Linked DNA regions of Notamacropus eugenii. The protein of the gene in region 3 interacts with the protein of the main gene of each other region in a pairwise test. Links are inferred from orthologs where the notes say so. Each region holds a gene or a part of one and is shown on either strand. Other genes may lie near its edges. The genes, in order: THRB, NR1I3, PSMC5 and RORC.

Region 1 (7,935 bases), on a different chromosome or scaffold from region 3:
TTTTAATATCACCCTTTCCTTTCTAGAAAGGAAATACCTAGGGTATTTCATTTAATCCTTACAACCCTGGGAAGGTGGGTGCTATTATTGCCTCCACTTCACAGATGAGGAAACTGAGGCTGAGAGAGACGAAAGTCATTTGCCCAGAGTCACACAATCAGCAAGTGGTTCAGGCTGGATTTGAACTCAGATCCTCCCAACTCGAAGTCCAACACACATACTCCAGTTGCTATTTATCTGGCTATATTAAAACTCATTTAAACTTTCATTCCCTCAGTGCTGCCCAACTGTCAAAGAGAAAAAGAATAAATCTGATAAAATGACAAGAGCTGGGCAAGCTGGGCAGGACCACATGGATAGGAGAAAGAGTAGGTGCCCACTGTCTAATGTGATGAATTAAAGCTTTTTAGGAGACAGCTGAGCAGAAAATAGCATGCTGTTAATGGCTGGTAAAAATGTGCATTGAAAAGGTCAGGATTAACCTGTTGGGGCAGCACAAAGTGCCTGCTGTCAAGTGTGTTTTCTCTGCCTTCTAAAAAAGAGAACTGGCCAAGGGTAGTTCTGGAGCAAGGCCCGCGACTGTGGCCTCTTCCCTTGTCGTTCCAGCCCCTTCTCTCTGTCTGTCTGGAGGACGTTCCGAGCCTGGAATGAGCCATGGCCCTATCCCACCCTGTCCATGCTGATGGGAGGGATGGCCAACTGTGGATTCCTGCAGATCCTTCTGGACTCCTGGGGGGTCCCTTAGAAGAGAAGGGGACATCACAGGGCCAGGAGCCAAGGGCCCCATGGCTCTGGAAAGGGGACATTTCCTGGCAGCTACTTGTGATGGTGTTTATAGATTTAAGGATAAAATAATGAATAAATGAGCAAAAAGGCATTTATAAAGCATTTTTCCTATGCTAAGCATTGGGGATTCATACAGAAAAGTGAGACAATCTTTGTTCTCAAGGAGATCACCTTCTAATTGTGGGACACAACATGTCAAGGAGAGTTCAGACACAAGGTCTGGTGCTCATTAGCAGGTATCAACAAGATAGATACGAAAGGCCAGGAGTCCTGAGGGTTTGTTGCCAAGTCAGATGGTGGTGTGTAGGGGCCTGGAGGGTGTCTTTTCAGGGCAAATGGCAAGTACTGAAGGGCCAGAGTGTAATCTGGGTAATAATAATGAGTTGACACTTATATGGTGCTTACTCTGTGACAGGTACTGTGTGAAGCACTTTACAATCATTACCTCATTCGATTCTCACAACACCCCTGGGAGGGAGGTGCTGTTATTATCCCCATTTTACAGATGAGGAAATTGAAGCAAAAGGCAGTTAAGTGATTGTGAAGGGTCTCACAGCTAGTAAATGTCTGAGGCTGGATTTGAACTCATGTCTTCCTGATTCCAGACTCAGTGTCCTATCCACTGGGCCATCTAGATGCCTATATGGTAAGGCCTGGTGCACTTACTATGTGTGAAATACAGCTATGTACTGGAGATACAAATAGAAAAGTAAGACGGTCCCTGATTTCAAAGAGCTCACCTCAAATCAGGAGACAAATGGGAGTTCTTTGGAAGCCAGGGGCAGGGAAGATGGTAAGGCAAAGTGATTTTTCCACCTTACTGGAAGGAGTGTAACTGGTGACTCTCTGCTCAGAGTAAGCAGCAAAGCCAGGCCTACAACCCTTGGGAGGGTAGGAGTGGGTCTGAGGGTCAGAGTGAATGAGGGGCTCTGGATTCCCTCCAGAAGAGGTAGTAATAAGTAGATTGCTCATCATCCAACATGGAAGGGGAAGGGTTTGGGAAAGTGGCATTGGAAGGAAGATTGAGATGTAGGGTAATAGCTGCTCTGTGGAGTCCTTTGGCACATGGCAATGTCTGTGCAGGAATGGATTTGATTCATCTCTTTTCACTTTCTCAGCCAATTCTACTCTGACCAAAGGGAGATACTTGCATTATGGTTGAACAGAATGCTAAGGGAACCCTATTACTATAGAGTAGAGCAAAGCTTACAGTCACATGGAGAAAGCAGTGGCTATCCATTTTCTAAAGAGATGTAGTGTACACTCACAAGGAACACACCTGGTTATGGTTTCTCATTGGTACTGGCAACAGTAGCCGCTGCTGCAACAATTTCAGGAGCTCTCTTCAAGAGGGTAAAATAGAGAGTGAAAGAATCCACCTTTCAGTGGAGGTAGTAAGGTAGTGAACCAGTCTGTGATATAACAGAGCCCATGTGAGGAGTCTTTTATCTTGATACAAGATGGATCCTAGAGTATCTAAGGACCAACTTGGGGCTGGTCAACTTTGACAGGATTATAGATTGACCTGAGGGGCTGCCATTCACTAACCTACTTTATACTCAGGAGGAAATGAATAATAACAGCTCACATCAAGATGGCACTTTAAAGGAGTGGAGCCAAGATGGCAGATTGGGGGCAACCACCGAGGTGAATTCTCCCCACATTCTCCTCCAAACAACTTTAAAAAATAGCACTTGAAATCAAATTTTGGTGCAGCAGAGCCAATAAAAAGTCGGAGTGAGACATTTTTCCAGCCTAAGAAAACTTAAGAGGTTGGCAGGAGAAGTCTGTCACTAGGGTGGAGTCCCGTGTTGGAGCCTACACACACAGTAGTGGCAACAGTAGCCGCTGCTGCAACAATTTCAGGAGCTCTCTTCAAGAGGGTAAAATAGAGAGTGAAAGAATCCACCTTTCATCGCCTGAAAGATTCCCAAATGAAAACTCCCAGAAATATTAAACCCATTTCCAGAGCTTCCAGGTCAATGAGAAAAAATGTTTCAAGCAGTCAGAAATAAACAATTCAAATATCGTGGAGTCACAGTCAGGGTCATACAAGATTTAATGGCTTTCATGTTAAAGGAGTGGAGGGCTTGGAATAAGGAAGATAGGGTTACTACCAAGAATCACCTGCCCAGAAAAACTGAGTGTAATCCTTCAGGAGAAAAATAAATAGACAAATACATACATACACACACACATATTTAATGAAATAAAAGACATTCAAGCATTACTGATGAAAACATCAGAACTGAAGAGAAAATTTGACACTTAAGAGAAGTATAAAAAGGTAAACATGAAAGAGTCATCATAAGGGACTCCATAAAGTTAAACTGTTTAAATTGTTATATGGAAAGATGATACTTGTAACTCCTAAGAACTTTGTAATGCCTAGAGCAGTTGAAAGGAGTTTACAATAAACTGAGGGCATGGGTGTGAGTTGATTACTTGGGATGAACTCCAAAAAAAATTAAGGAGGGAGAAACAGGGATGTACTGGGAAAAGGGGGTAAGGAGAGGTAGAATGGGGAAAATTTTCTCACATAAAAGAGGCGTACAAGGAAGAGCTTTTACAATGGAGGGGGAAAACGGATGGTAGTGGCAAGCAATGCTTGATCTTCACTCATTAGAACTGGTTGAAAGAATGAAGAAAATGTGTACACACAGACACACGTATACACACCCCTCACCCCTCACATATATGTAAATACATGCATATACATATATATACATATGTACATAGACACTGAGTTGTATATAGAAATGTAACTTACTCAACAGGGAAACAGGACGATTAGGGAATAAGAGAAAGAGGTGGTTTGATAAAGGGGAGGGTGCATTAAGGGAGGCAGTTGTTAGAAGCAAAATAAGAATTTGAGGAGAAACGGGACAGAGAGAGGGGAGAAAGGGGAGAGAGGAGAGAATGAGAGGGAGGGGGAAGAAGAGAGGATTATAGGATGGAGTGAAATAGACTGTTAGTAACGACAACTGTGAATGAGTCTGGGATGAGCTCACCCATAAAATGGAAGCATACAGTGGAATGGATTAGAAACCAGAATTCAATAATATGTTGTTTATAAGAGACACACTTGAAACAGAAAGTCACACACAGAATTAAATAAAGGTCTGGAGCAGAATCTAGTATGCTTCAGCTGGAGTAAAAAACGTTGTGCGGATAGTAATCAAGTCCTCAACCAAAACCAAAGCAAAAATAGACCTAACTAAAAGAGATAATCCAGGACATTACATTTTGCTAAAAGATACCATAGACAATAAAGCACTATCAAAAATTTTTAAAGCAAATTTCTGTAATAATTTCTCAAATGTATTCTGAGTATGGAACCGAGTCAAATTTATAAAAAAAGAGTCCAACTGATAAATGGCCACTGAGAGGGGAGTTTTCAGAAGTTATATACAATCACATAAAAAATTGTTCTAAAATCACTATTGATTAGACAAATGCAAATTAAAACAACTCTGAGGTAGCATCTACACCTATCAGAAATGACAAATGCTGGAAGAGATGACGGGAAAAATAGGTATGCTAATGAACCATTTGTAGAGTTGTGAACTTGCCCAACCACTCTGGAAAACAACTTGGACTAGGCTCAAAGGGCTATAAGACTGTGCATACCTTTTGGCCCAGTAATACAACTTCTAGGTCTGTATCCCAAAGAGATCAAAGAACAAGGAAAAGGATCTATATGTATAAAAATATTATAGCATCTCTTTTTGTGGTAGCAAAGACTTGGAAATTCAGGGGATACCCATCAATGGGGGAATGGTATATGATTGTGATGGAGTATTATTGTGCCATCAGAAATGATGAGGGGGGTGGTGTCAGAAAAAAAACCCAACATGAAGATCTAAATGAACTGATGTGAAGTGAGAAGAACCAGGAGATCATTGTACACAGTAACAGTAGTGTTGTAATGATGATCAACTGTGACAGACTTGGCTACTCTGATCAATAAAATAATACAAGACAATTCCAAATTGCTCACGATGAAATAATGCTATCCACCTCCAGAGAAAGAACGGATGAACTCTGAGTGCAAGCTGCAGGATAATTTTCTCACTTTCTTTATTTTTCTTGCTTGAAAGGTGGCTAATATGGAAATATGTTTTGCATGATTTCACATGTATGATTGATATCATATCGCTTACCTTCTCAGTGGGTGTGGAAGAGGTGGGGGGAGGGGGAGAATTTGGAACACTCAAAGTTTAAAAAGAAAAGAATGTTCAAAATAAATAAATGAGGACTTTTTAAAAATAGATGGTACTTTAAAATTATTAGCAAAGTGCTTTCTGTACATTATCTTACTTGATCCTTACAATAATTCTGTGAGGTAGATGTAATCATTATTCCCTACTTTACAGAAGAGGAAATTATTGCATCTGTATACATATATAATATGCACAACCTATTTATATCCCTATAATGTATCCATAAATACATTTCACACAATGTACTTACTATGTAACATACATTACTTACTATAATCATATATGTATATAACCACACATTTACATGCAAACCCCACACATACTCATACAGATACAATACACACGAACACACATGTATATGCATGTTATACACATGCTCATATACATGTATGTATAAAAGTGTGCCACAAAGAGCTAGCCTTAAACTCCGGAAGACCTTAGTTCAAGTACTGACTTGTATGGCTGGGCAAGTCCCAGCTGCTCAGACCTCCAGTCAAATCTCCATGGCTCTAGGTTGCCAGTTACCAATCTGCTTTGGTAAAATCAATTCCTTAAACCAGTGACAACCTAGGAACAGACCAAATCTACATGTGTGTGTAAATATGAACATACACACATATATAATATATATACTTTTAGATTCTGTCTCTGTCTCTCCTTGAAAGTTTAGAAACCCCTTTTCTCACACTGGTTCTGTGGGCTGATTCTGATTTACCCCTAGTGGACTTGAGACAGCACATCTGAGAGGATGAGTCACTTGGTCTGGATCCCACAGCTCCTAAGGGGCAGAGCTTGGCCTTGAACCCTGGTTTTCTGATTTCAAGGACAGGGCTCTTTCTGGGGTCTCATGTTGGCCCTTCTGGGCAGGGGTGTGAATGACCTATAGGAGGAAGGGCCAGGCAGGGGGGAAGCTCAGGGTTTTGACCTAAGCGTAGATCACTGGAAACAGAAACAGAAAGCTTCCAGGAGAAGGGACGGCTCCCCATGAAAAGGAAGAGCCACTGGAAATGGCTGCGCAGACCCTGGAGGGAGAAATATCAGGGAAGGACAAGTAGCAGTGAAGTAATGCTAACCCTTGACTTGTTGTCAAAAGGTCCTCTGCCTTGGTCTCTCCTACTTCTTCAGATGAATTTAGGAGGAATCCAAAAGGCAGAAGCCTGTACACAAACTACACCTGCTTTACTAAGAAAACTCAATAGTAACATTCTCTGAGGATGGAGGGAAAAACATTATTTTCCTCTAATGAGTCTTTTGTGTCAAAACAAACAAAGGTACCAGCATTTAGTCTAATAATATAAGGAAAGAAAGAAGACAAGAAAAAAAAGGTGGTGGAAAGTTTATGTGTGTCAAATTCAAACCACTCTTTTGGGAATTCATTTTGTTTTACTGACTCTTGAAATGAGGGAATACAAAACTGATTACAGGGCTTCCAACACAGAAGGAACTTTAATAAGTAGTTTTGGAAAGAAGAAAGGAAAGAGAGAAAGAAGAAAAGGAGGAAGAGAGGAAAGAAGGAATGAGGGAAGGAAAAAAGAAAGGAAAGAAGTAAAGAAAAAAGAAAGAAAAGAGAAAAAAGGAAAGAAGAAAACAAAGGAAAAAAAAGGAAAGAAGGAAGGAAAGGAGAAAAGAAGAAAAAAGGAAAAAAGGAAGATGGAAAGAAGGAAAAGGGGAAAAGGAAGGAAGAAGGGAGGGAGGAAGGAAGGAAGAAAGAAAGGGAGGGAGCAAGAATGGAGAGAGAGAGAGGGAAGAAGGAATAAGGGAGGAGGGAGGGAAAAAGGAAGGAAGAAAGGAAGGAAGGAAGGGAGAAGGGAGGGAGCAAGCAAGGAGGGAGAGAGTAGGGAGGGAAGAAGAAAAGAGGGAAGGAAGGAAAGGAGGCCTTTATTGTCTCCTGCCTGGAATGTCCTCATTGTTTTCCCCATTTCCAGTCCTTCCCCTCTAATCCATCGCCCACAAAGCTGCAAAATAAATCTTCTATGGCATAGTTGGACAATGATGTTCCCTGCTCATAAACCTTCAGAGGTTCCCTGTTGGCTCTGTGAAACAAAAATGACTCAGGCTGGCATTCTTGACCACCCGTCATGGCCTGGCTCCTGACGACCTTTCCAGTCTTATCTCACTGTACTGCCTTTCAGTCCTCTATGTTCCAGCTGAAGGGGCCTCCAGATGTTCCCTCAATTCACATCCCACCTGCGGGACACTCATGCATCCCATTCCTCACATCCACCCACCCACCCATCCATCTAGCAAACATTACCAAGTATCTCTTGTGTGGGAGGCCCTGTGCTAGGTGCTAGGGATACAGACACCAAAATGACATTCCTGGATAATTCTCCTTCCTCCTCCCAGAATCCTTCTAACAAGAGCCAACATTTCTACAATGTTTTATGATCTGTGAAGCACTTTGATGCACATTATCTCACTAGAACCCCACAAAAGCTTTGTGAGGCAGGGATGCCTTCCCTAATTTACAAATGAGGAAACTGGTGAATTGAGTCACCCCTGACCACAGAGCCAGGCACCTCAGGGATTAAATAGGAGCCCAAGTAACTCCCACTCTATCATAGTGCCTCTCACACTGCCTTAATCTTCCTTCAAGGCTCAGGCAAACATCGCCTCCTTTCTAAAGCCTTCCTTGATCCCTATCCTCGTTGTTAACATTCTTCCCCTCCTCAAATGGTCATATTTTGATGCATTGGTGTGCATGTCACATACTCCTAGTAAGTAAGCACCTTGGTGTCAGGAGCTTAGATTGTGCTTTTTCTATTCTCAGGACCTAGTATAGTGCCTCTCACATAAGCAGATGATTACCAAATATTTGTTGAATGGAATTGCAAGAAGGAAATAAAGAAGGGAAGTAGGGAAAAGGGGAGAGAAGGAGAAAAGGGAGGGGCAAGAAAGGAGGGAGGAAAGAAGGATAAAGGAAGGA
Region 2 (7,188 bases), about 76 Mb from region 3:
GTATGAACAAGATGGAGGACAAAGTCAATTCATTGCCATTAGCAACAAGGTCCTTTAGAGACTAAATGACCTTCTGAAAAAAATCCTAGTCCTAATTCAATAACTGATTATTAATATGAGAGAGAAATAATCATTTCTTTTATATCTTACGTGTATATATACTGTCAGTCAATAAACATCTGTTAAGTACCTACTATGTGCCAGGCACCATGCTAAGCACTAGGGATACAAAGGCAAAAGACAGCCCCTGCCCTCAAGGAGCTTCTGTTCTAATGTGAAAGATCGCAAAGAAATGGAAGCTGAAGAGGTATGGATGGCGGCGGGTCAGAGTGGGAAAGAGGCATAGCAAGGAGGCGTCAATGCCATGTCTGGCACATAGTAGGCACATTTTACTAAGTGCTTGTTAACAATAATAGTTGGCGTTTATATAGCACTTCAGGGTTTGCAAAGGTAAAAACCTGTGTTATCTCAGGTGCTAAAATCTCCAAAGGGGCGTAAGGGCAAGGGAAATAAAGAGATGGCTGGCCTGGGCACCCTACAGTAAGAGGAAGGGGCTCCAAGGACAGAAGGTACCAAGAAGGTAGGAAGTGGAGTTTGGGGTTGCAGTGGTCTTCCAGGCTGAAGAGGTCCCTGACATGTATGGAGAACCCCAGAGGAGCCCAGCCTGGTTAGAAATGATCACAAGATGACAGATTTAAAGTCAGAAGGGACTTTGGAGGTCACTGGATTCCTCTCCAAGTGCTCCCTCTGCCAAGTCCAGCACTTTTTCCATTTCCTTTATTACATGCTACTTCTTGATTGGATTGGACTGGATCTGGGGAATTCAGCAGTAACACTTTCAGTGATCCCAAGCTGTTCCCAAAACCCATCTTCCAGACATCCATATTCTTCCAGCCATGCTATGTGACTGTGAATCATGAAACACCATGCTCACAGGCACTTCAAAATAGCAGATGACCTAAAGAAACAGAAAAGCACAGAGTGTGGGTACAAGTAGGCTGTGCCATATTGCCAAAAATGGCCTGCCCTTGGTGATGTCTTTTATGTCACTTCTCAAGGGCACCCATGACGCAGAAAAGGAGATGTGCCCGTCACTCATTTAGAGCCAGGGAAAACAGATGGACAGCCAGAGTACTGCATTCATTTCCATAAAGTATTCAAGGGACCAGAAGAAAGTCTCCAGTGGGCAACTCTTCAATGGAGGAATTCATGGAAGACACAGACAAGAGTTACATGGGATGAGGAAGCAGGAAGGTGTTGCTATCTCCACTATGTCAAGAGGGATCTTTCCCACTCCCCACCCCCCCACTCTTGGAATCCCTTGTTTCTTTTGAGACTGAGCTCAGGCACATCTACTACAAGGAAGTCTTTCTGGATTCCCCCTCCAAACACCCACACACATCCAGCTTCTAGAGCCCATCCTCCCTAAATTAACTTGTGTTTCCTTTGTATATATTCTCTACTTGTTTATTGTTGCATGTTTTCTTCTCTCCCCACCCCCAATCCCCATAAAATGTAAGATTCTTGAGGGCAGGACCCCTTGACTCTGTCTTCTCTTGTCTTCAGCTTCTTGTGCAGTGCCAGGCACATACTAAACACTTAATAAGAGATTATTGATTGACTTACAGTACTAGTATCCACATCACTTCAGTAGAGATACTTGAAACATCAAAAATTATACAGTATAGGTACAAAATGTAGACTAGGTAAATAAGGCACACATAAATGGAGAATATGCCCAACACCTCTTAATGATGAGGTACATATAACAGATGTTCAATAAATATTTGTTGTAATGAATAATTGAATGTAACATTTCTTTCGAAGTTCAAGCCTTAGTTTATCTCTTAGTCCACAGTGAACTTTCCTGTCCCTTAAATTTCAGAACTAAACACTTAGTCAAGTGTTGTATATATGTATATATGATGGGCTGCTAAGTGGTACAGTGGATAGAACCTGGAGCCTCGAGGTCATGTGTGGCCTTCCAGGTCCTTGACTACGGCCTTTTGACTGAGTCCTAGTTTTACAGAACAAATCTTTTAAGGAGATTTGTTCTGTGATTCAGAACAAAGGGCCACACTTGAGGATCTAGAAGTCACAGGTTCTCTACCCCTGGTCTAGAGTCAGGAAGACCTACCTGAGCTCTAAATCTGACCTTAGATACTTAACTAGCTGTGCCACCCTGGGCAAGTTGCTAATTTCTGTCTGCTTCAGTTTTCCTCACCTGTAAAATGGGGATAATAAGAGCATCTACCTCCCAGGGTTGTTGTGAGGATCAAATAAGATGAAAATTGTAATGCACCTGGTACATAGTAAGAACCATATAAATACTAACTATTACTATTAGCTGTATCTTGAAGTTTATTATTTATTGTCTCGGGTGTAATCCGGTTTTGAGCATATATGTCTCATCTCTATATTCTGAATTCCTTAAGGATGGAGACCAAATCTCAGTCACATAATATTAGTGGCAGAAGGAGGTTTAGAGATCCTCCAGTTGAAGTGATGAAGAGTGGAGTGATTCCCCAAAATAGTTGAGAATAAAGTGTTGTCCTTGGAGTTGGGAGACGTAGGAAGAAGGCAGAGCATCCTAATGATGTGGCCTTGTGGGCTTACTTAAGAAAAATGAAAAAAAAGCACAATCCTACAGAGAAATGCTGAGAAAGACCTATTCGCAGAGGTAGGTACATCCCTGTAAAGTACAGGTATGTCACTTACCAATGTTACCAGTGAAGACTGGACATTGTCTCCACTCAGGCTTACTCTGATGGGTCATCATTCATGGAGATGCCCCTGTATTCTCCAGCTCTGGTGGGTCTTACTAAGCTGGAAAAGCTTTGAGAGCATGGCTTCCAGCATCTGACTATTGTCCAAGGACCAACCTAGCTGCGTTCATCACCAAATAATATGGGTGTTTTGTTTTGTTTTGTTTTTAGCCACAACAGTTCATTAAAGCAACTAGAAATGCGTGGAAGGGCTGTGATCTGTGATATGAAGGGTAAGCTGAAGAATTATACTGAAGACTATAGTTGCTTGAATATTTCTGTTTTCTTTTAAAATACTTAATGATATTCTTTTGTTTGTCTTTTTAAAAAAAGTTTTTAATCCCCATCGCTTCCCCCTATATTGGGGGCAGCTAGGTGTCACAGTGCATAGAGTGCTGAGCCTGGAGTCAGGAAGACTAATCTTTCTGAGTTCAAATCTGACCTCAGATAATTATTAGCTGTGTGACCCTGGACAAGTCACTTAACACTGTTTGCCTCCATTTTCTCGTTTGTAAAATGAACTGAAGAAGGAAATGGCAAACCACTGCAGTATCTTCACCAAGAAAACTCCAAATGGGGTCACAGAGAGTCCAACATGAATGAAAGGATTGAACAACACTTCCCAATGACTCTCTACCTTAGGGGTAGGGAATTTGTGGCCTCAAGGTCCTCTAGATCCTCAAGTGTGACCATTTGACTAAATCTAAACTTCCCCAAATGCCCTTATTAAAAGGATTTGTTCTGTAAAACTTGGACTCAGTTGGACTCAGACTTAGAAGGCCACATGTGGCCTTGAAGCTCCAGGTTCACCACCCCTGCTCTACCTCACCATATGACCCTTCCTTGTAACAAAATAAGTTCAGACAAGCAAAACATATCAACACATTGACCACCTCTGAAAACATATGCCTCATTCCACACCAATGGTCCACTACTTCCTGTGGAGAACTGTGTAAGGGAGAGGAGGAAGAGAGTTGACCCTGGCTGAATCTTAAAATTCATTATCAGAAATCATCGGTTCCTTTATCTTGGGGCTCAGAGAACAAAGCAATAACATGTTAATACCAGAGTAGTCTCTATCCTCCTACACCTACTCTATTAATATACATAGTTATTAATGTGTCAGATTCCTACACTTTGCCCTGTCTATCCAGTTTTTCCTTCTAACAGGAGGAATTCCCTTTAATAAAGCCAGATTATTTCATCCTGTCACAAATTGGAAATCTACACTGGACATTCTTAAAGTTTGTCACAGATACTTTCACCCTGACAACAGCCAGCAGACCTGACCTGTGAGAGGTGTGATGGGGCAGAAACCACTGTTAGAGAGTCCCTAGGTCTCATTCACACTAAGCTCCTCCTCCATGCTACCAATGCCAACTTCTTGGGCATGCTGGGATAACCACCCATCCTGGACTCCATTCTAGGTCCAAAGTCTACCTTAAGCCCAGGCACTGAGAACTATTGGAAGCTCCACAACACCGGGCCCCATTGCCCATCTCAGGTACTGAGGTCCACTATCCTTGATACTAGGAATTGAGTCCAAGCTGGGGCAAGAACCAAGTATAGAGTTGGGGGTGAGGGTTGGGGAGGGAGGTTGATGACTCCCACGTGGAAGCTGAGGGCCATACAGGTAAGTGCAACAAGAATGATGGTTTGGGTGGGCTGAGCAGGGTAAAGGATACAACAGGAATTTGAGAAAGGGAAGGAAAGTGCAGATAACTGCAGACCATGGGAAGTAGAATATCTGAGAAACCAAGGTCCCCTGGCAACTGACACAAAAGGGGGCCAAAGCTACAGAAGGCTAAGGCCAGAGACAACAGCTTGAGTATGAGTGCTGTAGGAGGGAGAAACTGGGAAGACTCAAAGGTTGACAAGGACAAAATGCCCACCCTTTCTCATTCTCAGGGGACTGGGGCCCATCTGAAGTCCTAAGATCAATGGCAAACAGAGAGGATGAACTACGGAGCTGCGCTGTATGCGGGGACAGGGCCACTGGCTACCACTTCCATGCCCTGACCTGTGAGGGCTGCAAAGGGTTCTTCAGGTGAGGACACCTACAGGAATGAACCTTCATACAGTTGATCACTCTGCCCCTACGCCTGAAGAGAACATAGGCTTGACCATATCATATGGGGTCATGGGGCTCTATTTCTGCAGCCCATGACCCCAAAGCCAGCCCTCACAGTCCTGCCAACCTCAACATTATACAAACAAGTAGAAGGCAAAGACAAAACCCTGAACTTTTGTCTCAGATTTACTGCCAACTTATCTACTCCTAGCAGTAAACGTTTACCATGTGCCAAACAACACTATATTACTAAACTTGATATGAAAAGGACTAAAGTCGTTATTGTATAGAGTATCATGACTTGATTATATAGTCGTATAGAAAACCTTTAGAAAAAATTGGGATCAAGGTCCCTAGGTTCTAGAGGTCCCTAGACCTCTCTCAAGTGGGCTTGGATATAATTTGTTCCTAATTGGCTATGACAATAAGCCACTTTCTGCAAAGCACCAAATGACCTGAGTTTTTCCTTTCCTGACTTGGTCTCCTTATATGCTTCAGATTGGCCCATGCCATCCACTCCACACACTTTCTCCTAAAGACATTGCTCAGACCAGGCCACACAAACTTTAATTCTTCTTTGGACCTTTCCTACATCTTATTAGTCCTCAACCACCTCTCTGCGTCTCCCAGGCGGACTGTCAAGAAGGGGATGGGACTCACCTGTCCTTTTGAACAATGCTGTGAGGTCAGCAAAAACCAGCGGCGCCATTGCCCAGCATGTAGGCTACAGAAATGCTTTGATGCAGGCATGAGGAAGGACAGTGAGTCAGCCCCAACCCATCCCCTGAGAAGGGTGGTATAGTGGACTTGCTAGGCTTGGGTTCAGATTCTGCCACTACTCCATACTGGTCATGTAACTCCAAGGGCCATCTTACTTTCCCTGACCCAACCTTCATTTCCTTTCTCTAGGTATTAAGACCCTGAGGCCATGAATTGTCCTTCTCCCTTGCACCTCCATACCTGTGGGGTCCCACCCTGTCACATCACCTTTACACCTATAGAACAGACTTTCTCCTTTTACCAGAGCTTGTATGAGAGGCCTTGGTATCACAGACCTTCCCAACACTCTCCCGCTCTGAGCTGTTCCCTAGTGCAGCAACCTACACATTCTATGAAAATAGACTAGAGACCCCTGCAAGCTGATCTTACCCTACAGAACCCTGAAAACCTTTGGGGCTCCTGAAACCATTGAGGAAAACCTTGGGCACCTTTCTAGCCTTGGCAGAGCTCGGTTTGGGGCCTGGAGGAGCTCCTGAGGCCAGGCCTGATATAGTCAGACTCCACCTCTCTCAGCACCTCTTCTGTCTCTTCTGGAGCACAGTGATCCTGTCAGCAGAAGTCCTGGCACAGAGGCGGGCAAAACAGGCCCAAAAGAAGGCAGAACAGGAACCTGTGCAGCTGAGTCAGAAGCAGGAGGCATTAGTCCAGGTGTTACTGGGGGCTCATGCCCGCCATGTGGGCACCATATTATTTGACCAGTTTGTGCAGTTCCGGGTGAGTACCTGCTGGGGTCAAGATTCAAAGAGCTCCAGAAGAGGAGGAGGGAGGGAGACTAGAACCAAAACACTAGGGAAGGCTGACCCATGGAAGAGACTTGAAGGGGTGCCAACTCTGAGAGACATAATGGTTATGTCTGTTGTGTTACTTAATGGTTGAAGAATGACCATTAGCCCCTTTAGCCAAGGCCCCCTCCCTGGGAGAGGTGAAAGCATCAAGAAGATGCTTGAGTCAAGGCCTCTGACTGTCCATTCTTCTAGCCCCCAGCCCATTTGTTCATCCACAACGAGCCTGCAGGCTCCCTGTCACCTGTCCTGCCATTACTCATACACCTGGCAGACATCAGCACCTTCATGGTACAGCAAGTGATCAAGTTCACCAAGGATCTGCCCCATTTCCGGTCAGTGAGCCCCACTACCTCTGAGTAGTCTGGGAAAGGACCCTTTCCTACACCCTCTAATGTCTCCATGGCAAATGCTCCTGCTCCCAGCCTTGTTGTTCTCCATCTTCACTAGGGCCTTTGACTACTTTGCTTTTTAATAGTCTCAGCAATCCAGCTCAGCTCCTCTGTTGTTCTCCTACCCTGCAGGTCTCTGCCTATGGAAGATCAGATATCCTTACTGAAGGGTGCAGCCCTGGAAATCTGTCATATCGAGCTCAACACCACTTTCTGCCCCCACAGCCAAACTTTCCTGTGTGGGCCTCTCCGCTATACCTACCAGGATGCGGTTCATGGTGAGGGGGCACAGCTCCCATGTACTCCCCCGATAGAAGGTGGCAGGGAGGGCTTGGGAAGCAGCTCAGCAAGCTGTGGTCTTGCCCTTGAACCCGCTGTGTCCTTCAGTGGGGTTCCAG
Region 3 (7,744 bases):
ATCAGTGTGATGAGCCACAGCCCGAGCCAAGAGAGTTTTGCCAGTTCCTGGAGGTCCATACAGCAACACACCCTAGGGTAGGGTATGCGAAACTCAGTCCTCTCATAGTAAATTCCACCTCTATTCTCTCATATCCCAATTAATGTCTTTCAGGCACAACTGCCTCTGACCTCTTTGTGACTTAACATTGGTATCTGGTGCAGGGCATGGATGAGAACCTCCCATTTGGCTCCCACAGTAAATCCTACCCCTCACCTTGGGCTGTGCAATGCCTAGTGCTTCAAAGAGCTCAGGATGCTTAACAGGCAGTTCAATCACTTCTTTGATCTCCTTGATCTGCTTGTCTAGGCCACCAATCATCTCATAGGTTGAATCAGGCACTTTTTCCACCATCATCAAAGATACCAATGGATCTACTTTGTTGGGCAGAATTTTGTGCAGGGTGTAGCTGTCATTTCGAAGAGCCACACGGCAATTGGGTGTCACCTGGTTATGGTGGATGATTTTAGAAAACATCACTACAATACAGCACACAGGTTCCAGCCCCTTACCCCCTTTATTCCTTGCTACACTTACATCATTGATGTCGATGTTCTTATCTACATCAACCACAAACTTCCCTTCAGGATGTACCTAGAGGGAGGAGTTTATTAGCTTTCCAAGTGGCATCAGTCTCCATCCCAGGTACCAAGTCATACAACCAAGGAAAAGTCAAGGAACATTAAAAGAATATGTATCAACCAATAAGATGCAACACTGTCCCCTCCCAAGGGTCCATTTAAGGGGTAACAAATATAGCAAATAAACCTGTTTCAGTCCCTGGGGTCAAACTCTGTACCTTGACCAAAACTTTCTTTTTATCCATAGCTCGGACCACTTCCCCCACATAGGACCCCTGCTCCTGCAACAGCTGCAGCTCCTCCCGTAGCAGGCGCACTGTATGAGAAGCAAATATGAGCAGTTTTGTTTCTTTTAATTTTGCAACGTTTTGCTAAATAGCTCAACAAACTACCTGATTACCATTCCAGCCCAGTAATTCAAATAATTCAAGCACTGTTGTGAAGCATAAAATATTTTGATCTTTAAATGTTTTCAATATATTTAGAAATGTAAATAATGCTAATCCAATCATAATGCTTCTGTTCAATTGTTTTGGTTGTGGCCAACTAGTGGTAACCCCACTTAGGGTTTTCTTGGCAAAGACACTGGAGCTATTTGCCATTTCCTTCTCCAGCTCATCTTACAGTGAAGGAAATTGAGGCAAACAAGGTTAAGTGATTTGCTCAGGGTCATACAGTACTAAGTGTCTGAGACCAGATGTGAACTCAGGAAAATGAGTTTTTCTGACTCCAAGCTTGGCACTCTATCAACTGCACCACACAACCGCTCAATCACATGCTAGTTTGTATTACTATTTGAAATGTAGCAAGGGAGGGTACCACCCAGAAAGTCAAAACAGAAGCCAGAATCTATGAATCCCAGTCATTATGCTGGGCTCCCACCTTTTGCATTTAGCTCATTTCTTTGTGCTTGCAAACGACGTAGATTTTGGCTCTTGTCATTCACGATCAGCTGAAGTGGGCAGAAGATAACAAGTATAATGTATAGGCAAGTAGCTAAAAAAAAAAAAATTTCCTGGCCAAATTTCCTAAATGTGATTATGAAAAGGGACAAGGTCTGCTATACCTGGTTTCAGATTCTAGCAAACAGATCACATCCACCCTGTTCTATGCCTCAAAAAGTCCTGCCATGATTCAAAAAGGTCCAAAGAAGAAGCTAATTCTAGCCTAGATATTACATGCCCTCACAAAGAGAGCTTCAAAATTCTGGGGGACCTTTATTTTTTTTATTAAAGCCCAGGTCAGTTATTCACTACAACAATGGAGTTTGTAACACAGACCAGACAGCTGCTAACCCTACCTCTTACAGCTACATACTTTATTTTTCCTACAAAAACTTTAAAGCCCCCACCGAAGCTTGTGAAAATATCCTTCACTACGTCTTCATTCCACCCAGTTTCTACTCTTAGACCTCTAAAATTAGAATTCTGGGTTTTCTGTCTTCCTTGAGCTCAGGCCCAAGCAACAGGTGTCTTCCCAGCATTTGTCACGCGGAAGGTTCCCAAGCTTCTTCATCTCACTTATTTTTTTTCAACCCAACCCCCTCCCTATGTGGCCAGCCCAACTTTCCATGCCTTCCCTCCCTCCCTAAGGGGGGGTCCTTGGAGACTGATTTCTTTCCCCTCCTCCCAATCTGACCCCCACTCCCATAACACCCGGGCTCTCCCTCCCCCCTCCATCCCATGGCCTCCCGGAGTGACGCTGACAGAGATTCCTCCCGGAACCTTCAAGCCCTCCTCGTCCCTTGCCCCGCGTCTCACCTGAAGTTCCTCGATCTTGGACAGGTAATACTGCCGCAGCCCACTCCCGGCCTTGCCCTCCTCCAACTCCATCTGCTGAAGAAACGTTATCAGATAACATTCTGGGGGGTGCCTACGGCACAGAGACCCGTGAGGCTGGCACAGCTCCCTGCCCGCCAGGAGCCTGCCATCAACGCGGGCGTGAAAGCGACACGCACCCGCACGAACACCAATCACGCGCGGGGCACGAGGGCGGCCCCGCCCCGTGCGATCTGGGCTCGGGGCCGCATCCCCGGCCCCTGACCCGGCCGGGGCGGCGCTGACAAAGCACGTCGGCCTGTGGGGTAGCACCGGCCCTAGCTGAAGCTCGGCCCCCGCCTCCATCGGATCCAAACCTGGGTTCGGTTTGTCCCCCGCCCAGATATGACTTCCAAACCCCATCTGTCCCCGCAATTTCCCTGCCCGGGCCCCGCCGCAACCTTCCTACCTGCTCCGGTCCGTCCAGCGCCATCTTCCTTCCTCAGATCCGGATGCCGGCATCCAAGTGAGTTCTGGGCGCAAGCGCAAAAGGGCGGGAGCCGCCGCGGTCCGCGATTAAACTTCCGGGTCAAGCGACGCGACTCTCAAGAATGATCGCTGGTAGAGGCCATGTTGGGAAGGTCGGAACTCCACGTCTGGCCATTTCGGAGAGCGAAGAGAGGAAATGACCCGAAAATGCCCCTCCCAGACACTCCCTCGACAATTGGCTCCTACTGCTCCCTCACCCGCTCGCTGGGTCTTAGGTTTACTTGTATGGGAATCCAGGGCGGAGCTCTTGGGGACGTCACTTCCTGCCTCTGACTTCCACGGCAGTAAAGGGCTTGGATTAGATCACCGTGAACGTCCCGCCCTATGGGAAAGTCCAAACCGTCCTATCAAAACCACCTCAAAAATCTTTCTCTACAGACTCAAGATGGCTGAAGGGGCGGAGTCATCTCCGTAAGAGCGAAGGCGACGGAAGAGGGAGGGAGCGCATCCCCAGCCTACACGTGCCCCCGAAAGTTGGGCCGGAGGTTCTGGTGGGCCTCCGCGCGTGCGGCGGAGACTTCTCCCCGGCCAGAGTGAGGGCACACCTCCCCGCGGCGCCATGGGAAAGAAGGGCAAAGTCGGGAAGAGCCGGCGGGACAAGTTCTACCACCTGGCCAAGGAGACCGGTGAGTCGCGAGGACCCCGCGGGCCCTCCGTCCGGGCCTCCGTCGTCCGGGCCTCCGTCGTCCGGGCCCCCGGCCCCGCTCACTCGGCCCCTCTCCTCCCGCAGGCTTCCGTTCCCGCTCCGCGTTCAAGCTGATCCAGCTGAACCGCCGCTTCCAGTTCTTGCAGAAAGCCCGGGCCCTGCTGGACCTGTGCGCGGCGCCCGGGGGATGGTGCGTGCCCGCGGCCCCTTCCTCGGCCTTCCTTCCGTCCACCCCCACCCGCCGCGCTCACGCCGGGCATTTCCTAGGGCGCTGGTTCTTTTTATCTGCCCCTCCCCGCGCCCAGCCCCCGCCGCGGGACTGACAGGTTACAACGCCCCTCCTCCCCCTTCACCATCCCCCCCCGCCCCCACAGACACGCACCCAGGGGACAGAAGCGGGCTCCTTCGTGCTGGAGGAACTTCCCAGCGTCATCTCCTCGCTCTCTTTAACTCCCCAGGCTGCAGGTGGCTTCCAAGTTCATGCCAGTGTCCAGCCTCATTGTGGGTGAGTGTACCGTGTGGCCCCCCGCTGCGTGGGCTGGGGAGTTTGGGGTCCCACCCGCATCCCCCGTCGTAGCTGGGATCTCACCCTGCGTGTTTTTTCTAGGAGTGGACCTGGTTCCCATCAAGCCCATTCCCAACGTGGTTACGCTGCAAGAGGACATCACAACCGAAAGATGCCGCCAGGTCAGCCTTTGCCCCTCGCTCCTTTGGGGAGTCCTTGCCATGGGAGTGAGAGCTTTGGCCGCGTGAAGGAAGAAGCATCTGCTAAGCACTTGCACTGTGCCAGGCACCAGGGATATAGATACGTACAGAAGATGATCCTGGTGGTGGCATAAAGGAGACTCATTCCGGAGTTTGGGTTCTGAGTGAGGGTAACAGAGAGGGCCAAGTGACGAATGGCTGGAGCCCTCAGGCCAGACCACAGTGGGGGACGCATTTGTGAGGGGCATGAAATGGCTTCTGGTAGGGGCAGGGGGAACTAGGGATTGGGGTGGGCACAGGTGGTGAGTGAGTGGGGGTTGGAGCCAGGTGTGTGTGTTCAGTGTTAAGGATGGGATTTGTCATCATGGATTTTTTCACTTGAGAGAAATGCAAGTACGTAAGCGGGAGAAGACTTGGGACCCTGTTTTACCCATGGTGTAACGTCCAGTGTGGTTGTGCTGTTTATACAAGGCTAGTTGTGTTGTCCTTGACTTTTGTCATTCTCCATTTTCATGTCCATCATGTGTTTCTTGGTTTAAGTGAAAACATGTATCCAGCCCTTGAAAGGGGCTACACCATAGGGAAGATCTAGAGTTTGGTAAGGAGGTGTGACTTTCTGTTTGCCTTTTCCAGGCTCTCAAGAAGGAGCTGAAGACTTGGAAGGTTGATGTTGTGCTCAATGATGGGGCCCCTAATGTAGGGGCTAGCTGGGTCCATGATGCCTACTCACAAGGTACCTAAGGAGATTTGGGGCTGGGACTATTCACAGATAGTGAACACTCTAGCTGACGAGTCTTGATTCCCCTCAGCCCACCTGACCTTGATGGCACTCCGTCTGGCTTGTGATTTTCTTGCACGTGGTGGCTGCTTTATTACTAAGGTTTTTCGCTCTCGTGACTACCAGCCCCTTCTCTGGATTTTCCAGCAGTTGTTTCGCCACGTCCAGGCCACTAAGCCCCAGGCCTCCCGTCAGGAATCGGCAGAAATCTTTGTGGTCTGTCAGGGTGAGTTGTCTTTTATCCCTGTATATTCTACTCCTAAGGCCTCTTTTTTTTCCCCTTTAAAGCCTGTTCTTATCTTTTCCCTTTTCTCTATACGCTTCTCTTCCAGGTTTCCTGGCTCCTGATAAGATTGACAGTAAATTCTTTGACCCCAAATTTGCCTTTAAAGAGGTTGAAGTTCAGGCCAAGACTGTGAGTGAATTGGTAACCAAGAAAAAGCCCAAGGTATGTATGTGAAAGAGAAGTGCACATACCCTGAAATCTCTGAGAATCATTGAAAACACCTCAAAGGGGACTCCCCTGTCTGTTCTGTGTTTCTTTCCTGGTCCCTAGGCTGAAGGCTATGCTGAAGGGGACCTCACCCTCTATCATCGGGTCTCCCTTACTGACTTTCTCCAAGCAGCCAACCCTGTTGACTTCCTCTCCAAAGCTAGTGAGGTGAGTGTCCAGAATTAAAGAGACTTGTGGAAGAGTCTCCCTGACCCAACTAGGAAGTTTAGTCCTTTCTAATGATTCTCCTTCCTTGCTGAGCAGATCATACTAGATGATAAGGAATTGGAACAGCATCCAGCTACTAGTGAGGACGTCAAGGTGTGCTGCCAGGACATCAAAGTACTGGGTCGAAAGGAGCTCAGGTACTGGGGCGAACATCTCAAATCATGAGACTGAGAGGGACCTTGGGCAAGCCTGAGTGTGTATGAGACAGAGTAAGGCCCAAGGAGACTTGAGGAGCAAGTGGTAACTGGTACCTTTCTTGTAACAGGAAACCTTTGTCCCAGAAATTCGGGTTTGGGACAAAGCATTGATTTTCACTTATTTTGTGATCTTGGTATCTGAATGTAGCTCTGATGCCCTCAATGAAACATTTAATGATGATAGAGTAGGGTGGTCAGTAACAGGGCTTTTGGAACAGGTCCCTGCTGAATTGGAGGACAAAGCTTCGTCGGTTTGTGGCCAAGAAGCTAAAAGATCAAGCAAAGGCACTGGACATCAGGTAAGCTGAGGATCAAGGCAGAGCATAAAATTTGAGGAACATTGGAAGAGGGCTAATGACATTGACTGTGCCTTCATTTATCTGTTTTACCTCCATTCCAGTCTTAGTTCTGGAGAGGAGGAGGAGGAGGAGGAAGAAGAAGGAGGAAAAAAGACAGCAGCTGCTGCTGAGGATGATGAGGAAGATTTGGATAGGGCTCTTGCAGAAATGAAAGCCCAGGAGGTAGCAGAGCTGAAAAGGTGAGAGAGAAGGGTTTGGTAACAGAGCTAGGGCCTTATAAGTAGGGAAGGAAGAGAGCAATCCCAGGACACAAAGTATGGGAGTGGGTAGATGGGGGGAGTACTACATCATCAAAAAGTACTACTTTTTTTTTTTTAAAGAAAATTTCGCTTTTTATGAATGCATATAAAAGCCAGAAAATTGCTGTGAAGGATTTACTTTGTGGCATCAAGTTGAATTTGTTATCTAGTGGAGGCTTCATTGTAAGACACAGGTTCAGTTTTCCAGTGTAGTTCATCAGTTTTCCATTTGTGGCTTATATCATGTTTATAACATCTCCAATTTGAACCTGTCTCCAGGTTCTTGACTTTTGAGTACGCAGATTTGGGAGAGGGTTGTGGGGTTTGGAAAAAGCAGCCTGTGGGGCTTGGCTGAGCTTTCTGTGTGCCTGGAGTTCACTGGAATTGACCCCACACTCATCCAGGAAGAAAAAAAAGCTACTCCAGGAGCAGAGGAAGCAACGGGAACGTGTGGAGCTAAAAATGGACCTGCCTGGAGTTTCCATTGCTGATGATGGTGAAACTGGGATGTTCTCCCTACGGACAATCCGTGGCCACCAGGTGGGCTAGAGGGTAAACAAGGGCTGTTCAGTATACATGCAGCATCACGCACTGCAGATTCTCCTAGCACTATTTAACTATGTTGATTTTGTGACTTGTGATTGTAGATTGTGAAAAAGCACAGGACTAGGAGTTAGGAAATATGGATTCTCATGCTGAGTCTACTATGTGTCTAATTAGTACATAATCTCTGTGAGGATAGATTGAAAGAATGGTACTTCTTAAATCTGGAAAGATGAAGGCTAGGAAGGAAAATATAAAGTTTTCATGAATTAGGGTGTGAAACACAGACTTGCTCACTGAATTTGAGAACATTAGGGCCTCAGCAAAGGCCTCTACTAGAGTAGCTTCAAGGATCTATCTGCCTTTGAACCTGTGCTGCTTAGCATTTTTATCAGTGACTTGGATAAAGAGGTGTGCTTCTGAGATCTGCAATGACACAAAGCTGGGAAAGTGAGGCACAATCTAAAATCTAATACCCCATTCCTCCCTTTTAAATTCCAGCTCCTGTACTTAGCATCATAAACTCAGCTGTAATAAGGTAGAACCAGATTACACAAAAGATCCAAGGAGAGGGCTTTAGTGGATTATAAGATCATTGTGAATCAACAGTAAGACAAGACAGCCAAAAAC
Region 4 (6,905 bases), about 38 Mb from region 3:
TTTCCATCTTCAATGAACATTTCTCTTCATTCTTTCCTTCCCCAACTAGTCCCATTTGCCTCACTCTTCTGGTCATTTTAGCTCTTCTGATCTCTCTCCTATACCATCTTTGCCCTCCCTCACCTTAATTTTTCAAAGTTGTCCATTTCTCTAAAATTCTCAGTCTAGGAACCCCTTCCCACTACCAGACCCTGTCTCAATCCACATCTCCCAGCTGTCTCCCCCCACATACATATATGCACTCACAGGTATGGGTCTTCTTTGCAGTTTCAGGCCCTGTAAGAAAAGGAGAATTATGAGGACTTTGGACCCATTGAAGGTAGTAGGGCCAAGAGATGAGGGTCCCCTTCCTCTCACTGGTCACAAATACACCCCAACCCCCAACACATTGGCCATCCCCATCCCCTTAGCCAAACGTGTTGTTGAACTTTATTAGCCTCTGTAAGCCCACATACCACCACAATTTTAGTTTGGGGTCTAGGTAGAATAAAGTGCATAATAGGGGAAGGGGTAGGCCAAGGGGCCTTGGTCAGCTCCGGATTGGGGAGATATGTTAAGAAGTAAGAGTTACTGGCAATTCCCCTTAGACACCCCCCAGGCCTGCCAAGACTTTGGGAGCTCCTCTTGGCTTCCTACTCACTTCAGCGAAACAGACCTTATTCTCCCTGTTCTTCTAGCTCCTCCAAGTTGGAGAAGACCAGCTGTCTGACTCCCCCAACTCCAAGTCTGCCCTATACCTCCCTGTTTCCCTCCCTGTATCCCATCAGGCAAACCTCGAGATTGTCAGTTGGAGAGACAACTTCTGGAGGAGAGGAGGGAGTGGGAGAGTACTCCTATTTCCTTGGACCTAATCTGTTTTAGCCCCAGCCTTAGCATTTTCTTGCTTCCTCCCTGATGTGGTACACCAATACTCAGTTTTCTTGGGGTTCAGCTTGTATCCTGGATGTCCTGGGAGCTGGTGATGGAAAAAGACATCCTTCCCTCTCTCCATCTTTGCCAGCATAGGGAAAAGTTTCCCTCCCACCCCATCCCAGATCCACCACACACACACACACACACACACACACACACACACACACACACACACACACACACACACACACACACACGCGCTCTTATAACTGGCCTGGTCACTGACATCTGTGCTAACCTGAGCACCTGAGGTCCTGGGAAGGTCTGATTCTAGGTAATGCCCACCAGAGAGCAAATAGAGAGAGTGACACTGACCACTTAGCTAATCGGAGGGTTTAGACCGACCAGCAGTCATAGGTTCACAGATTTAAAGCTAGAAAGGATTTTAGAGATCTTGCAGTCCCTAACCTAGGGCCAGACACAAAGAAAGCACTTTATAAATAATGCTTATTGAATTGAATAGTCCAATGCTCTCATTTTTGCCTCATGATTCTAATAATAGTAGCATTTGCACGGCTCTGCTTTAAGGTTTGCAAAGTGTTTTGCAGACGTTATCTAATTTTAACCTCACAACCACACCAGAAGGTAGGTGCTATTATTATCCCCAATGTGGCAGATGAGGAAACTGAGGCACACAGTGGTTAAATGATTTGTCCAGGGTCACATAGCTAATAAGTGTCAGACTCTAGATTTGAACCCAGGCCTTCCTGACTCTGGGCCCAGCACCCTTGTCTCCTGCGTGACCCAAGAAGAAATGGAGGCCCAGCAGGCTTTTTCCTTGCCCAGGGTCAAACAGTGAATATATAACAACAGTGGATGTTTTAACTCCAAGACCAATGCTCTTTCTGCTACATCTGAGGCATTAGATTCAGGAGTTTTTAACTTGGGGAATCCATGAATTTGTTTTTAGAATTGGTTTCCTTCAGTCTTATCTATTTTATTTTGTATGGTTAAAAATCTTATTCTGAGGAGGGGTTCTCTGACTTCACCAGGTTGTCAAAAGTGTCCGTCACATGAAAAGATGTCAAAAGCCTCAGTATGCCCATTTGTGCCCTGGTGCCTCTGTCCCTAGAAAATTACCTCACAATTGTATCATGGTCAGTACAATACCCTATCCCCTCAGAATTAAAAATTTACCAGGTTGGTACTTGAACTGACATCAAAAAGTGATCGCACTCCAGGATAGGGGGTGGGGCATGCCCTTCCCAATTCCCCCATGCCCCTGCTATCCCCTACAGCCAGGATAAATCTCCCTCAGCTTGGGCACTGCCAAGTGGAAAACACCAGGAAAGCTGGGAGACCTCAAGAGGGACTCAGACACAGGGACGTGGAGCTGGGGAGTGGGTAGGACCCTAATAATCATTTATGTGTAGAAGCACACACTTTGAGAGACCCACCGCATACTGGCTGAACATAAACTCCAAGATTCCCACCCCCTGCCCTGTTTCTTTCTCTCTCTTCACTGTGACATTCTCCCTCTTCTCTCTCCTTTTCTCTTCTCTCCCGTCTTTCCCAATTCCCTGTCTCACTCTTTTCTATCTCCTTCTCCTGTCTTCCCCTTTCTTCTGGTGGTGTCTTCTTGTCTTTTCTAACTCTGTCTCATCACTCCTCTTTTTCCATCTCTCTTTCTTCTAGCTCTCTATTTCCTGTCTCTTCTCTTCTTTTTCTCTTTCTTCTCCTTTCTATTTTTTCTCATTACTTCTCTTCTCTTGTCTCTCCCTTTACTTTTCTCTCCTATTTCTCTAATCTCTCCCTCTCCCTATCTCTTCTTCTTCTGTTTTTCCCCTCCCCTCTCTCTGTCTTTCTCTCTTTGTTTCTCTCTCTGTCTCTCTCCTCCTGTTTCTTCTTTTCTCCTCATTGCTTCTTCCCTTTCCCTGTCTTTCCCTCTTCACCTTTTCTCCTCTCTTTCTACCTCCTGTCTCTCTTCTCTTTACCTGTCCTCCTATCTCTTTCCCTTCTTCTTTCCTGTGCCTTTCCCACCCTCCCTGTCTTACCCCTTGTAGCTCTGTGGTGACTTGGTGGGGCCCTGTCCATGGGGCAGCTCACTTGTTGGAAGTCCTTGGTCCCGGTTGGGGATCAGAGCCCAGGGGAGAAAAAGAGGGAGGGAAGGAGGGAGGGAGCACCTGGCTAGGCAGTAGGCAGGGGAGAGGAGTGGCTGTCAGAGCATCCTAGCACTATAGGCAAGTGGGAGGAAGGGAGAGGAAAGAGACTGGGGAAAATGGAAAGACAGAGAAGATACATGTTAGAGGGAAGGAGGACAGAGATAAGGGGAGATAAGGAAAGAGACAGATGATGGAGGATGGGAAAAGATAGGGAGGATACAGAGATACAGGAGATCTAGCAGTACAACTGGGGCCTCTCCTCCATCCCATCTACCTGACCTCGGTCCCTCCAAGCCCTCTCCCTGTACTACCTATACCCTTCAGGCTGGCCCTGCATGTCCTAGACCAGGTGGGATTGCCCATCCTTTGAAGGCTTTTCAGATAGACTGCACATATCACTGTATCACTAACACAGAATAGTTCTGAGCTCTGCAAATGATCTGGAGAAAGTTGAAACATAAAGTTTGGAGGAAGATGGGACTGGGGGTGGCACGAAAGAAATGAGGCCCACACAGCAGATCCCAGGACTTAGAGAGACCCTTCCTCTCCAACCTCCCACCCCTTACTCTTCACCCCTTCTCCGGAGACAGGAACAAATACCTGTCCTGGTGGCCGCCTGTCCCAGTCTCAGTCCCAGGGTTTGATTAGCTGGGCCTGGCTCCTGATGTTACCCAACAGGCTGGGGTTGGCAGGGAGCCAGACAGGAGGGGGGAGGGCTCCTGGGCACCCCTCCTCTCTCTTCAGCTGGTAAACAGCAGCTGAAGACCTGGCCATGCTAGGGCCTCGTGACTCTGGCTCCCCCGGCTCCCCCGCCCCGCTTCCATCCCAATTTCCCCCACCTCCCACCACGTGGAGGCCTGCATGGAAGAAGTAAGCAGCAGCTGTCCTTCGATCTTTAGCCTCCTGGACCCCTCCATTCTACTCCCATTTCTCTGCCAAGATTTCTGCTTCTGGCACCAAAGAGAAGAAGTAAAGTTTAGCTATGAAGACGAACTTTCCAGTGGGGAGTCAGACGGAAGAGAATCATTTTGTCTAGAGCAGACACTTTTGGTATCAGAATTGTCTGTGTATTTATAACTCGAATAGTTGACATTAATATAGTCTTTTAAGGTTTACTTTACATTTCTATTTTCTTAATTGTTTCTCCCTCCTCAACCTGGAGAGTCCACTAATTTCTGAGGCTCAGAATGGTTGTCACTTGCCCATGGTAACACAGGAAGTGTAAGAGATGGAATTGGAACCCAGGTATCCCCTGATTTCAAGTGCAGTGCTCTTTCTAATACTTGCCTTTAAGGATTCAATTTAATTCAACAAATGTTCAGGAAGTGCCCATGTTGAACACGAGATGGGAGGTATGAAGTTTGGATGAGATATTAATCAGCCTTACTGGCTTAGAACTTAGAAGGAAATTCCAGGAGCAGAATATGGCACATCTGAAAATCCTAGGTAAATGCCAAAGCTGGGAAAGGCCTCTTGTAGAAGGTAGGCTTTGAGTTGGGACTTGTAGGAAGTTGAGGAAACCTAGAGACAGAGGTGGGGGGTGAGGGGCAGGGCAGGGGCAGAACACTCCAAGCATAGGGAACAGATAGTGCTCAGAGGGGAGGTGAGAGATGGAGGGTCCTGTAAGTAACCTAATGTAGCTAGATCATGAAAACATAAAGATGAGAATCATGAAATAATAATGATTTTACCCACCTGTGTAATAGAATATAGAACATTAAACTTCAGAGTTGGATAGTAACTTGACCCCAAATTGTTTCTATATGAACCCTATTGAAGGAGATGAAAGAATGGAGATAATAACAAAATTGTGACTGGAATGGGGATTGAGAAGCAATGTGTCACAGTGGATAGAGGGCTGGCCTTGGAGTCAGGAAGACCTGGGCTCAAGCTCTGCCCCTGATTCTTATAACCAACATGATCATGGGCAGGGAGGGTATTCCACCTCTTAGCACCCTAGGTGATTCTGCAAGACTGTAAGTTAGGATTGGGTTGTGGATCTCTGTTTGTTGTTGGAGACAGCTTGGCATAATGGATAGAGTCTAGCCTGGGAGTCAGAAAACACGAGTTCAAAACCTACTTCAGGCACTTGATAGTGGTATAGTTCCAGGGAGGTCATTTAAACTCTGTGTGCCTCAGTTTCCTCACCTAGAAAATGGGGATCAATATCAACTGCCTCATATATGAGATTATGTAATGGAAAGTGTTTTATAAATCTTAAAATGCTCTATAAATGTTAGCTATTGTTGGCCACCGGAGGGATTTGCCATACTAGACTTTTACCCACATTGATGAAATCAAAAAGGTCTGGACCAAAATAATAATTCAAAGTTATGTAATAAGTAGGCTTTACCTTCTTCATTACAACCTGTAAGTAGGACAGGTAACAGCACCCCCATTTTACAGATGGATGGCTGGCCCAAAGTCACACAACTAGAATTTGAATTCAGACCTTTTTCTGCTACATATTGCTTTAAAATATGAGTAAGAATTCAGCACTCACAATGTTCCAGGTTCACTCTCTTAGTTTTTATCTTTTTTATCCTTTGCTAAGGATAGTCAGGGTGTGGATCTGTTACAAACTAACAGGTTTGACATAGAAGAGAAGGGGCCTCGGCCTTGATTGGTCCAACCCTGATCGACTCCTCTCCTTAGGGGCAAACAGACAGGATGGAGAGGGGTGGGGCACAGCTAATGATTGGGAGAGCACCCTTCTCTGGCAACTTGCCTTTTATATAACTTGGCAAGCCAGGCTGGGCCTAAGAGCAGTAATCAGAAGCTCCAACTCTGGTGGGTGTCTTGCACGTGGTGTTTGTGAAAGGAAAGGTCCTGACCTCCAGTGTAGAGGAATTTACCTGGCACTAAACTTTGCCTTTTCTCCTACTTCTCTGAATCTATCTCCTTTTCCCTCTTTTGCCCAATTCTTCTCCCCCAGTCAACAGGCATTTATTAAGTGAACAGAGAAGAGTTGGAGGAGGTGATGGTGATAGTAAAGTCTAGAGAATGAAAGATGACTGATCTGTCCGCTTTCTTAAAATGCAAGTTCTGGGAAAAACTCACCAGTGGGAGAAGGTGGATACATGAGTGGGGGAGAAGCAGATGAGGAATAGTATACAAGTCTAGACAATTAATTCTATTTTTTTAAAATTAACAAGCATTTATTCTCCCTCCTTTACACTGATTAAAAAAAAAAAAAGAAAAAACTTTGTAACATTCAAAGTCAAGTAAAATGTGTAATGTGCATGGTCAAGTAGAACAAATGATCATGTCCAGATATGCAGGTCTCATTCTGCATCTTGAGTCTATCACCTCTCTTTCAGGAAATGGAGGGCATGATAAGGTCTTATTCTGGAGATCAAGCCCTAGGCCCTGTGGTGTCTCACACCAGCAAATCTACTTCTCATTGGCAAAGCCCTCTCTCCCTCTCCTCCCACCGGTTGGTATGGTATGGACACTATAAACGGGAGTAGAAGGGAGACCAATTGGTCCTGGCAGAGTGGGTATGCCCATTCTGCCCCACTTCTGCCCAGTATGTAGGTGGAGGAAGAAAGGGAGGAACCGGGCCCAGAGGAGAGGGTAAGTTAGGTGTTTCCTCCTATACCTTGGCCAATCTCTTTCCTACCAAGCTGGAGCCTAACATGTTGGAGTTCCCCTCCATGGAGAAGGAGATCCCCTAATCTCCCTTGTCTCTTCTACTCCAGGAACTCATTCCTTTCTTCCGGCTGCAATCTCAGCCTATTTTCCAGGAGAATCAATCCCTCCAGAACTGGGCAGTGGTTTTTAAGCCCCCACCCCCGCCTCCCCACGCACTCTTATGCAAGGAGGCAGATAGATATCAGCCAGTCATTTCAATCCCCCACGTGCAGAGCCCCTTATCAGGCAGGGGAATCT

Evidence for each region.
Region 1: the proteins of PSMC5 (region 3) and THRB interact in a two-hybrid assay, tested with the Homo sapiens proteins (3 studies listed by BioGRID). The link is inferred for Notamacropus eugenii from reciprocal best matches to the Homo sapiens genes PSMC5 and THRB.
Region 2: the proteins of PSMC5 (region 3) and NR1I3 interact in a two-hybrid assay, tested with the Homo sapiens proteins (2 studies listed by BioGRID). The link is inferred for Notamacropus eugenii from reciprocal best matches to the Homo sapiens genes PSMC5 and NR1I3.
Region 4: the proteins of PSMC5 (region 3) and RORC interact in binary tests that used the Homo sapiens proteins (3 or more experiments, as listed by UniProt). The link is inferred for Notamacropus eugenii from reciprocal best matches to the Homo sapiens genes PSMC5 and RORC.

The regions. Positions count from the first base shown.
Region 1 is NC_092874.1:30,392,443-30,400,377, reverse strand, and holds the start of THRB (thyroid hormone receptor beta), read right to left. Parts: upstream 3,018-7,935; 5' UTR 1-3,017.
Region 2 is NC_092873.1:267,698,203-267,705,390, reverse strand, and holds the start of NR1I3 (nuclear receptor subfamily 1 group I member 3), read left to right. Parts: upstream 1-4,182; 5' UTR 4,183-4,269; intron 4,270-4,309; exon of another isoform or gene 4,310-4,398; intron 4,399-4,673; 5' UTR 4,674-4,705; coding exon 4,706-4,812; intron 4,813-5,438; exon of another isoform or gene 5,439-5,466; coding exon 5,467-5,597; intron 5,598-6,157; coding exon 6,158-6,330; intron 6,331-6,593; coding exon 6,594-6,733; intron 6,734-6,922; coding exon 6,923-7,068; intron 7,069-7,177; coding exon 7,178-7,188. UniProt on the Homo sapiens protein: Binds and transactivates the retinoic acid response elements that control expression of the retinoic acid receptor beta 2 and alcohol dehydrogenase 3 genes.
Region 3 is NC_092873.1:343,827,332-343,835,075, forward strand, and holds the start of PSMC5 (26S proteasome regulatory subunit 8), read right to left. Parts: upstream 3,006-7,744; 5' UTR 2,871-3,005; coding exon 2,847-2,870; intron 2,456-2,846; coding exon 2,381-2,455; intron 1,573-2,380; coding exon 1,503-1,572; intron 937-1,502; coding exon 839-936; intron 634-838; coding exon 577-633; intron 487-576; coding exon 256-486; intron 73-255; coding exon 1-72. Other genes in the region: pre-rRNA 2'-O-ribose RNA methyltransferase FTSJ3, read left to right, coding at 3,486-3,552, 3,657-3,762, 4,031-4,077, 4,180-4,259, 4,911-5,010, 5,087-5,281, 5,388-5,503, 5,612-5,716 and 4 more.
Region 4 is NC_092873.1:305,729,238-305,736,142, forward strand, and holds the start of RORC (nuclear receptor ROR-gamma), read right to left. Parts: upstream 3,015-6,905; 5' UTR 2,947-3,014; coding exon 2,907-2,946; intron 277-2,906; coding exon 247-276; exon of another isoform or gene 233-246; intron 1-232. UniProt on the Homo sapiens protein: Nuclear receptor that binds DNA as a monomer to ROR response elements (RORE) containing a single core motif half-site 5'-AGGTCA-3' preceded by a short A-T-rich sequence.